Pelodiscus sinensis: one gene and its partners. The protein of the gene in region 2 interacts with the protein of the main gene of each other region in a biochemical or structural test. Links are inferred from orthologs where the notes say so. Each region holds a gene or a part of one and is shown on either strand. Other genes may lie near its edges.

Region 1 (3,749 bases), on a different chromosome or scaffold from region 2:
TTTGCCACCCAAACTCTGACCGCACCTTGGGCACTTACGGATGGAAAGTGCCCAATCAGACACTATTATCATGGAGTTCTCAATGGGGAAAATACAATCAACAACCACTGGTTTTCCCTCCTTACACTGCGCACCTGTACATGTGACTAGGACGTGCAAAGTATGCTCTCTTGCAAGACTGACGGCAAGGCCCACAGGGGCGCTTAGCGGAAGTGCAGCCCTCTGTATATGAGGGATCAGAAGCACCCAAGAGAACATATTCAAAACTAGCCTGTCTTTCGAAAGATTCACACCTCGACTGAACTCTCCTCCCAGCACTGTCTTTGCGAAAGGTCACAATACAGAGAATGTACCGTGGCAGCCACACAAGTGTCAGAAAAACAATCATCTTCTTAATGTCACATTGGGATTGGAACGCTAATTAAAAAAAGTGATCCTTATGTAAATTTTAAGGCACTAAATGCAATCAGCACAAAAATGAGATCAATATGAACCCGATGAACTTTGGCGTTTCTAGCTATGCAACACCAGAACGCAGTCTGGAGCTGAAATGCTATTCATTTTGACTCGACTGACCTTTCTGAAATGTGGTAAGAAAAGTAGATCAAATGTGGCTTTAAAACTGATTCCTGTGAAAGCCCAAAGTACAAGTGCTATAAATCAGACACAACTATAAAAAATGACTTCGACATCCCAGAAGAATTTTCCATCAATGTGTCCACATTTTAAGTCATTTCTCAGCACTGACGTTTTCCCTATAGATCTGTTGCAGCGACAGTGACCTCTCAGCTGTCTATGAGGTTTTGTAAACACAGGACACATTACAAGAAAGGAAAGGAGCCATTTCTTTATCATTGTCGGGGGGGGGGAGCATGCCTGGCCCCCTCAGGGATAGGGCATTAGGCCTCTCAAAGGGTGCTCCACCCCCACGTGACTATTATCTACCACAGCCCAGGGCAATAACCCCACAGCCTCTCTGTGAGGCACTCGGGCCTAGTGGTCACAGTCAAAAACAGTCCCTTCCCGCAGGGCTGTAGAGTCCAGTGGCCAGAGTCAATAACATCACTCCATTCCCTCAGAGCAGTGAGGCCTAGTGGCCACCCTGCCTTCTGGGCAGCAGGGCCTAGCAGCCAGAGTCAGTAACAACAGTGCAGTGCTGCCCTGGAGGTCAAGGGGGTGGGGTAGGAGGACCCACGCCCACCCTCTGCACCGGGTCCCAGCCCAGGGTCCTGTCAGTGGTGGAGCTGTCCCCACCACTAGCATAGTGGGAATCCCAGCACAATACGCTCAGCTCCTGGGTATCTAACTCCCCGCCCGGGGCTACTTCCTACCAGACTCACTGTTGCAGCTTCGCCGCCACTGTCCTCCAGCCTGGGGGCTTCTCCGGCCGTTCCTCGCCAACCAGCCTCCACAGCTTGGTCCATCTGCAGCTCTTCCCCGGAGCCCTGACAGCACCTTCTTCCCAGGTGGCTCCCTGCCCAGACTGACTGTTCCACCAGCCTTTATAGCCGGCCTCCAGCTGGAGCATGCCCAGCAGGGCTGTGGGGCGGGGCCTCCTCAGCCAGGGAACCAGGGTTAACCCTTGCAGGCCCACATCCCATCACAACCATCTTTTTTCCTCTAACCACCAGTGAGCCAGAGAATAAACTCTCCTGTAGCTGGACAGAAGAACCTTAGCAAAATTGTTGTCTCAATGATGGGGATCTGAGTCGAAGGAAAAGGCGTGTTTCTGTATTTTACTATTGAGCAGAGGCGTGGAAGAGCTCTGCATAAAAACCCAGCAATACATTGGCTCCCCACAGTACTTATTGCCATCGGAGAGATTTCCTTGCCATTGTGGCTTTCTAGCGCTGGCTGATCTATGCGTCCTACACAGGGAAGAACAGCACACATTTGGGTAAGGGGACGGTTGGTGTGGTCACCACAGACCCAGGTCCTTCGGGAACGGGAAGTCCATGGGATTTCTGAATGAGCAAGGAACTAAGAAGTGCAGAATTGGAGTCACGGTGTCCTGGGAGGCCATCAGCAAGCGCAGTGCTGCAGCGGTGGAGAGCAAAACACCAACAAGCAGCAAAACCAGTGTCACACTGGGAAAACTCCATCGCGCCCCTGCCCTGCCTCGCCTTGGTGGGCTCTGCGCGTGGGGGTGGGGTGGGTTTCCTTGCCTCGGAGGCTCCCAGCAGCCCTCAATCCAGGCACCATTCCTAGCGCTGGCTGCGTGCTGGACTCTCAGCATGAGGAGCAGCAGGAAACCAAACAGCAAAGCCTCAGTGAACCTCCAAGTGATACAGGGCTGCCTAGCCCCCTTTCTTTCTCCAGCCAGTCCTCTCCAGGGCCCGAGTGGAAACGGGGGAGTCTGTGTCAGAGGGTGGGGGGGACCCAGCCCCACCATCAACTCCAGGTTCCAGCCCAGGGCCCTGGAAAAGCAGCTGTCTGTCAATGTCTCCAGCACCAGTGCATGACAGCTACAAACCCCTGGGCTACTTCCCACACCTCCCCCAGCAACTTCCTTGTCTCAGGCCTTTTCTCCTGGTACCCCCGTGTGCTGCTTCTTCCTCCAAGATCCTCCACAGCCCTTCTGTCCCCTCAGGGCCTCACAAGCTGAGCCAACTGCAGACAGCTCTTTTGATCAGTCTCAACTGGTTTTTAATTGGCCCCAGCTCTTCAGCCAGTCTGGGTCTAGAAGCCCTCTTAATTGGCTCCAGGTGCTTAATTGCCCTGATTGATTCTGGCAAATTCCTGCTGGTTCTGTACTAGTCCTTGTTAGCTTACCTTGGGAACAGAGATTTACTCACTCTAAGGTTAATATACTTGCCATCTAGGCTCTCTTGTAGCACCACCAGCCACTCTACACTTGTAATAAGTGACACCCAAGACCACGTAGAAAGGAAAAGAGAAAAAAAATATCCAATGTTTTCCCATGGCTTCTCTGGCAGGGTCAGTGTCCTTTGCTTATCTGCATTTTTCACACAAAGAAGAAAATCTTTAGAAAACAGACCCCCTCTGCCCCCCACACACACCCCCAACCCCCCCTACTCCCCACACACAATTGGTCGGGAGTTCAAGTGCAGAGGTGGGACCTGTAACTACCGATTGTGCAAGCGACTAGTGTTTAAGTCAGGTGCACCCTGGCAGTACGCAAGGCAAGTGACTCTCAAAGGGGCACCAACGTCTGGAAACACTGAGGGACACGGCTTTAAAAGAAGGATTGGATTTCAAACAGATGGTGAAATAGGGATGTAAGCAAGTAGCCGAGTACTTGCTCCTCCCCTCACCCCACTGCCCCACAGCAAACAGACACCGTCTCTGCTGTGCCACCTCCTCTACCAGAGGCAGCAGTGGGGAGTGGGTAGGAGATGCTGCTCTGGGAAGCAGCTCCTGTTCCTGGGGGGGGGGAGGTCAGGTCCCAGCTGCCTCCTGCCTGCGCACCCAGCTCCTGCTACATTTAAACGGCAGAGCCGCAGTGGGGTTAGCTCCTGGACCTGTGGGGGCCAGGACAGAGCACCTTCCCTTATCGACCAATCATAAAATTGTATCAACCACACGATTAGTCAATCACCCGCCTCTTAATATCCTGAGCCCCTAAAGGAAGGAAGGACCCTGGCATGGCTTCAGGAGTTGGGACTCTACAGAACTATTTCCTGTGTCCGTACTTACTCAGTTATGCATCCTCCAGCAGCAAGAGAACTTAGTGGAAGCCAGGACTTCAGGCATTCATGTCTCCTCTGCCACAGACAGAATGACCTTAG
Region 2 (3,749 bases):
GGGCAGGTACCATCTTTTGATTCTGTTTGTACAGCATCCAGCACCTTGGGGTCCTAATCCAGGACTAAGGCTCCTATGTAATACAAATAAATAGCAATAATAGACCCTGATTTGTTCTTGCTGCAAAGCAAAACTTCATGGAACAGGTTTGCTATTCTTCTCCTTCACGTTCCTCGTACTTTACAAGAAATCCCAGCAAAACGAACAATTTCTTTTCCACAGGTTGTGGGTAATATGGATCAAATATACTACTGCTAAATGATGTATTATTTTTAAAACTGAAGGAGAAATGCATCACAAGACCAGTCAGCAAAGTAATGGCTGCATCTCATGAACTGGAAATATGAAAAAAAAACGTGGAAACATGTTACCTTTCCTTCAAAAGGTGTTACTGTTTATTCCACACTTATGTCATCAGTATCCGCTTCTCAAGTGTTTAAAAGCATATAAACCTAGGTAAACATAATAAACAAAATAAAGTTATCAGGACACAAGGCTAAATTCTATCTTCTGTTATCTTATACAATTCTCACTGGGTAAATGTGTCTGCGGCAGAATTTGGCCCTTGTTCATAATCCTCTGGAAAAATATCTCTATATGTTCATTCAAATAAGTACGTTTTTAAGATCAACATTTCTGAAATTCCATCAAAATTGGAATCCAGAAGTTGCCCACCCCTAAATGTAATTGATTTATAAGATAATGCAACCATTTGTGGCCTCTTGATGTCTCAAGATCATTTTGTGAAGAAATGGGTTTTGCCCACGAAAGCTCATGGTACCATGTACATATTTTTGTTAGTCTGTAAGGTGCCACACGACCACTTGCTTTTAAGGTACAGACTAACATATACCCCTCTGAGACTTTAACTCCATCAAAGTCTTCAGCTTCAGTTTTCATGGAGTCTCTCATGTAAACATCCTGGCAAAAAGCACTAAACTGGGGAATGGAGTGGGGGAGGAGAGAAGGGTTCTCTTTTTTAACCAAGTCATTCCAAGACAAACAATCACACGAATTTGAGGAATGATTTGAACATTACTAGGCTCTTCCACCCCACCATAAATCAAAGCAACCCCCCCTTCCTCTTCACCTCCACGCACTTTCAGTGAGAATCATTTACACTTTTTTTTTCAGATTCACATGTGATCTTCTTCCCAGCAGACCTAGAGCACGGGGAGGGGAAGAGGAGAGGAGGGCGAAGACACCTGCTGTGAAATTGCTGGTGTGAACGGAGGAGGCTCCTCATAACCTGCAATTTCCCCGTCTGTCTAGTCCAGGCAACATGTTCGCTGACACCTGGCATTGGAGATCTGGCTTTGTCATGTTGAAAGGGGGGGGGGGGGGTTGATTAACACGGTATCGTCTGCAAAGATAGGGCTTGTGCGTGCAGAGCCCACGGGGCGACCTGGGTGGGGAGGGGGCTACGATCGGCTCGGGTTACAACATGCCCACGGCAGCCGCGACTTGCAGTAGCCTGCGGAGACGTGGCTTTTGTTTCCAGCGAGGTCTCGCCTGGCCCAGCACCGGCGGCGTCGGTGCAACAGCGCCCAGGAGGCAGCCCTTCGCCGCGCGTAGGGCCGCGCCCTGCAGCCCTCACAGGCGCTGGAGCATCATTCCCCAACTTCTCCCCCACCCCCGCCAGCCAGGCCGCCCGCCCCAAAGCTCGGCAAAGAAGCAACAGGCTCAGCCCGTCAGGAGCGGCTGCTTCCCCTGCGCAGCGCAAGGCCTTGTGGCGCCCGGGCCCCTCCTCCTCCTCCAACCAGCAAAACCAGGGGCCACAGCTCCGGCCCCTCCCGCGCAGGGGAGCGGGACTATCGGGCTACACCCGGTTTCAGGGCGAGGGGAAATGCCTCCCCCCCCCCCCCCGTTCTGCCCCCTGAGCGCAGAGCCCCGGGCACCCATAGAACGTTCCCCGGGCGCAGCCAGCGCTACCCTGCGGGCACCCCCCGGCTCGCCGCCGCGCTCCGCTTACCCGCTTGCTGCTCCAGGCGCCTCGCCGCCGAGCCAGGGCTGGGCTGGGGGAGACCACTTGCAGCCCTGCTGGCCGGGCTCTGCAGACTCCCCCCCCCCCCCCCCCCCCCAAGTAACGGCCCGCGAGGAGGTGCAGGATAAACAGGCAGAGGCTACCATGAAACTTAATCCGGCCCAGCCATCAGGCGGCCAGACGCCAAGCCGCCCCCTCCCCCTTCCTCCCAGCTACCCGGCGCTCTTGAGCCGAGCCCCGCAGAAGTGGGAGTAGGAATCGGCTGCACAGAAGGAACCATGACAACAGCAACAGGAGGGGCCCCACTGGCGGCCCTCGCGCTCCCTGCTATGCCCTGAGCCCGGCCGGCCTGCTGCTAGGCAGGGCGCCTCGGAGCCGCGCTGCTCGGGAGCACCGTTGCAAAAAAAAAAAAAAAAGTGGCCTCGGCCGCCCCCAGCACGTCTTCTTGCGGGAGGGGAGAGGGCTGGCCCCTGCAACACGCTACCTTGCGTGTGGAAGCGAGGTTGCGGAGCTAGCACGTTCAGACCCCTGTCCCGCACACATACACACACTCCACACAGTTATGGGGTTGCGCAAGAGAGGGGCTTTAGTGGCCTCTTAAAAACTCGGTCCAATCTGATCTGTTACCCGCCGGGGTCCCAGCTGTTAAGCATTATTCCCTATAGAGCCCTTATCTTGTTCTCTTTCCACGCTAAAGGGACCTCAACTTGCACTCCACTCTTTTTATAGTAGTTTGGTTCAGATATTAGACCTGCTCCTGAGCCGCCTCCTTTCCTACCAGTGATTGTAGTTTTGCAGCCACATTTTCCTATTTTTAAAATGTCTTCCCCTTCTGAGAAGAGCACAAACATGTCTGTGTACATATGGGAACACTGCCTGTGACTCTACCAAGTGTTGTAAAATGTATACAACTGAAAAAAGACACAAGTCGTGTTTTCTAATCTGTCATTTTGCTTGGAAGTTTAGCAGATTTTTAAAAAGTGCTTTTTTCACATCCTATCCTTTGAAATGTCCTGAGTGGTTCCTTCCTCTGTATCCTTTGAGAGACAGTTCCACCATCAAATAGATTTGATCACTCCTATGTTTGATTTTTCCCTAATCTTGTATCTCTTGCTGAGGCCACACTTTTATAAATTCCAGAAAGACTGCTTAAATTATTGCAGCTCCACTTGTGTGCTGCAGTTTTCTGTGGATGATTTTCCTGTCTAAAATGGAGATATGGGGGTGAGATAGAAGCATTATACTGCTGTTTGTTCAGGGAAATGGATATTTTTTGTTCAGGGTTTGAACAGAGAAGGAAAAGAAAAAACTTGATTTTTTTTTTTAGAACTAAAGGAAAGGGGATTTTTTAAAGTTTTTATTTGAATATAAAACAATAGCCAAAAACCATAATGAAAAGCATATATATTGTATTGTGCAAACACCTTTGAAGTAAAATACAAATACATGGAATAAGTGAAATTTGAGTGAAATTTATTTTCAACATAAAAATGCTAATTAATTTATATTTGCTGAGCACTTCGCTTTCTGACGCACTTTTTATTTAGTAACTATCATTAGAGTCATCATTTTTCTATCTAATGCCAAGAAATCACCTCTTGTTCCCTGTTTATGCCAGCAGCTTTGTTGCAGTAGCATCCATAGTGCCAGAAAGAAGGCTGGCTCACACTGCTGAATACGTCATGTTGCAGTAGACTAGGGGCTGGTACCCTATGTTGACTTGCTTGTTTTTGTGTTGATTTGGTTTACTTCTTCAAAATGTAAC
Region 3 (3,749 bases), on a different chromosome or scaffold from region 2:
GGAAATTTTTGTTCAAATAAGAAAGTTACCAGAGAGAGGGAAATGTACTATACATTTGAATCAAATGTTTGGGTACTAATAAATATCAAGCAGTGAAGTTGATAACCTTTTTCCTGAAAGAATCAGAATAGGTTTTCCTAAAATTGACATAAACCAGTAAACAGGAGTAAAATCCAAATAACGGCTTTGCTGATCAAAAATAAAACCTCACTGAATCAGAATGGAGGGAAGAACCCCTTTGACTATATATACACCTCACAGTCACATTACTCAGATACTTATTTAGTTGTACTCATATACACCTCTATATGTACTATCATAATTTGTACTTTCAGTGAAATCATTAAACATGCTTATTAAGTTCACAAGATGCTCTAACTTCCTAGTTGACCATCTGCTCAGGAATAGGTTTAACTGTAACTCTGTAGTACTCCAAAGAGGTTGCACAGAGCCTTTTCATGCATGCAGTGACTGGACTGTCCGTGTCTAATTCAGGAACACAGATACTACTCCCAGAGATCATTACTAGCCACTCCAGTCTCCCATTAGGTCAGGAATACCACCTTTCTTGGCCCTTACACCAGACAACAAACCCAGCCTATTATAGAGGGGAAGTGCACTTAAAATACAATTAAAAGGGAACAAGCATTAGTCTGCCCAGATGTCCCTTAAGGAATTAGGGCCAAGAATTCCTCCTGAGACTCCTGCTGATGCGTTGTACCTCAATTCTCTTCCCACTTCCAACCACAGACTACGGGTTAAGACTCACCATCTGGCCTTATAAAGATTGATGTTTATGCACAGTTAGTGATCTATTCAGAATCAGTCATAAAGCGGCAATGTTTATTTTTCCTCAACACAGATGGTGAAATGTGCATGTGCAGTGAAAATGAACAGGCATTTAATTGAGCAGTACACTTCATTTGTTGCTTTCATTTTTAGCTGTTTTAGTTTAACGGAACTCAAAACTTCAATAGTTATTATTATTCAACAGGATGAGCAATTTGTGGTTTAAAATATAATAAAGCCTTCTGTTACCTTTAAATTCAGTTTAATTTAAATTGTGATGACCTAAATTGATCCACTATCCAAAAACATTTCTTCCAAAAGCCAACATGGAATATTTTAGCCCCTTCCTATTCCTGTATCACACTGTAGTGGTATGTGACTCACCACCACTGTGCCTCCTGGTGGCAAGTATGGGAATTAGCTTAATCCAGTTTGAGGGTACATCTACACTGCATGCTTATTTCATAATAAGCTATTCTGGAAGAAATACTCCAAAATAGCTTATTTTGAAACAGCACGGTTACACTAAAGGAAAGCCTCAAAATTAGTCCGAAGTAGGCTTCCCTAATGTGGACATGCTACCTCGATTTAGAACCCCAGGAGACACTAGGGAGTAATTATTTTGAATGGTCATGTGGAGGGGCTATTTCGAAATAGCAGCAGTGGATCATCCACACTAATGCTATTCTGAAATAGCTATTTCGGAATAGGTGTTATTCTTCATGGAATGAGGTTTATAGAAGTAGGAATAAGCTGTCTGTTAGTTCAAATTTATTTTGAAATAACAGAATTCATGTGTATTGTTATTTCATTGTTATAACATTGTTATTTCAGTATAACATCCATTATTCTGAAATAATGCTGCTGTGTAGAGGTATCCTGAGTGTGCTGTGTTTGGCTGGTCTCATCTGTTGTTCATTCACCTGTCTCCACCATCTGGTTCTGGATGTCCCTTAGACCATAGCATCCACTTCATAACACTACCCTCTGGCTATGCCCCCAACGCTGTTCTCCCCCTTTCTGGAGGAATCTGTAGTCTTCCTGGCTCTAAACCTGCCTCCGTGGCCTACTGCAGTCCCAAAGTCTACCTCTTTGCCTCACAGAGGCTCTGATTGGCTATCTGCCATCCTCACCCTGATTTGCTCCCCACAGGCCCTTTCTGACTGTCTGTGGGTTTGTAGAGTCTCCCTAAGGCTCTTCTTTTGGCCTACTGCACCACTGCAAACACCTATTGCCTTTTTCATCAAACCTGTGGGAAGTGTGTACTCAAATAATTAATGTAAGATTCTTGTGAAACTTGTGATTAAGGTTACTTTACAGTGGGTGATAAACTAACTCCAGGATGAAACACATAGGACACAAACACGGGAGTTAAACACTTTTTCATCTAAGTTAGGGCCACAGGGAACGTGACTTCTGAATTGGGAGCAAAGGAAATGGCTTAATAAGTCTAGCTCTGAATTTTGAATGTACTGATTAAGAGCAGTGTCACATGGTGTGCCACTCACCATTAGACTGGTGTCTTCTGGTCATGCTGGGAATTAGGTCATCAGGTCAACACTATGGTCGCATACCACCACTCAGTCTTTTGCTCAGGCTTGCTGCTTCTCTCTCATTCTTGGAATGATGACATCCTCTTTGTGATTCAGCCCTCCAGCTAGATCACTCAGCTTTTTCCTTTCCAAATGACTATATAAAGGGGTATATCAAAGTCTTTCCTTCATCCGTCACAAGCAGTCTTGTTGTTCGCTGCTTCTAGTGCCACTCCTTCCCTTGCAGGCAGGGAAATCCAGGCCCACCTTCTATTCTGGCTTCCAGTCCAGAGACCCTATATCCACAAGTTCTGGGCTTTCCTCTCCTCGCCCTAACTGCTCCTTCCCGACACTGCTTCCTGTCCTCCTGGTTCCTCACCTTTCTCTGGGAGTAACTGCCACAAACCCTCCTTCAGGGAGTGACTGCAGCCTACGCAGCTCAGAAGTCTCTAAACACTCCTCCCTCTTCCTGGAGGGTGATTGCCTTCCCAGAAGCAGCCCCTGTTGTCAACTCCCTGGCTTTCTAGGCCCTACCTATTCCTGCATAACTGAATCTGCTTACAGTCGTCTGCTCTTTGTTTTTTTCATATCATCTCCCTAGTTTTAGAGATATGTAAACATTGCCTTAATATAGAAATAGATAGTTCTGGATTCAATCACCTGATGTTTGTCGGGGGCAGGTGAGCAAAGCCCACAGGTAAGTGCTGAATGTGCGGGACTGGGAGATGGGTTGGAAATGGGGGGGACTACGGCCTATAATGGCAAGGAGAAAGGAGGGTCAGGGCACAACAGGGAGGCAAGATCAAATCAGTATCTTAGATGCCTATATACAAATGCGAGAAGTATGGGTAATAAGCAGGAAGAACTGGAATTGCTAACCAATAAATACAACTATGATATCATTGGTATTACAGAAACCTGGTGGGATGGGACGCATGATTGGAATATTGGTATGGAAGGGTACGGCTTGCTCAGGAAGGACAGACAGGGAAAAAAGGGAGGAGGGGTTGCCTTGTATATTAAAAATGTACACACTTGGACTGAAGTGGAGATGAACGTAGGAGATAGCTGTGTAGAGAGTCTCTGGGTTAAGCTAAAAGGGGTAAAAAACGAGGGTGATATCATGCTAGGAGTCTACTACAGGCCACCTAGCCAGGTGGAAGAGGTGGATGAGGCCTTTTTTAAACAATTAACAAAACTATCCAAAGCCCAAGATTTGGTGGTGATGGGGGACTTCAACTATCCAGACATATGTTGGGAAACTAACACAGCGAGGCACAGGCTATCCAATAAGTTTCTGGACTGCATTGGAGACAACTTTCTGTTTCAGAAGGTTGAAAAAGCTACCAGAGGAGAAGCTGTTCTGGATTTGGTTTTAACAAATAGGGAGGAACTAGTTGAGAACTTGAAAGTGGAAGACAGAATAGG

The links.
Region 1: the proteins of MPDZ (region 2) and 5-hydroxytryptamine receptor 2A form a complex in vitro, tested with the Homo sapiens proteins (3 studies listed by BioGRID and IntAct, with this or other methods). The link is inferred for Pelodiscus sinensis from reciprocal best matches to the Homo sapiens genes MPDZ and HTR2C.
Region 3: the proteins of MPDZ (region 2) and CYSLTR2 interact in a test that uses a peptide from one of them, tested with the Homo sapiens proteins (2 studies listed by IntAct, with this or other methods). The link is inferred for Pelodiscus sinensis from reciprocal best matches to the Homo sapiens genes MPDZ and CYSLTR2.

The regions. Positions count from the first base shown.
Region 1 is NW_027465900.1:173,035-176,783, reverse strand, and holds the start of 5-hydroxytryptamine receptor 2A, read right to left. Parts: upstream 2,732-3,749; 5' UTR 1,341-2,731; intron 1-1,340. UniProt on the Homo sapiens protein: G-protein coupled receptor for 5-hydroxytryptamine (serotonin).
Region 2 is NC_134716.1:23,692,344-23,696,092, reverse strand, and holds the start of MPDZ (multiple PDZ domain protein), read right to left. Parts: upstream 2,296-3,749; 5' UTR 1,973-2,295; intron 453-1,972; 5' UTR 372-452; intron 1-371. UniProt on the Homo sapiens protein: Member of the NMDAR signaling complex that may play a role in control of AMPAR potentiation and synaptic plasticity in excitatory synapses. Promotes clustering of HT2RC at the cell surface.
Region 3 is NC_134711.1:289,121,175-289,124,923, reverse strand, and holds the start of CYSLTR2 (cysteinyl leukotriene receptor 2), read right to left. Parts: upstream 2,662-3,749; 5' UTR 2,298-2,661; intron 1-2,297. UniProt on the Homo sapiens protein: Receptor for cysteinyl leukotrienes. The response is mediated via a G-protein that activates a phosphatidylinositol-calcium second messenger system.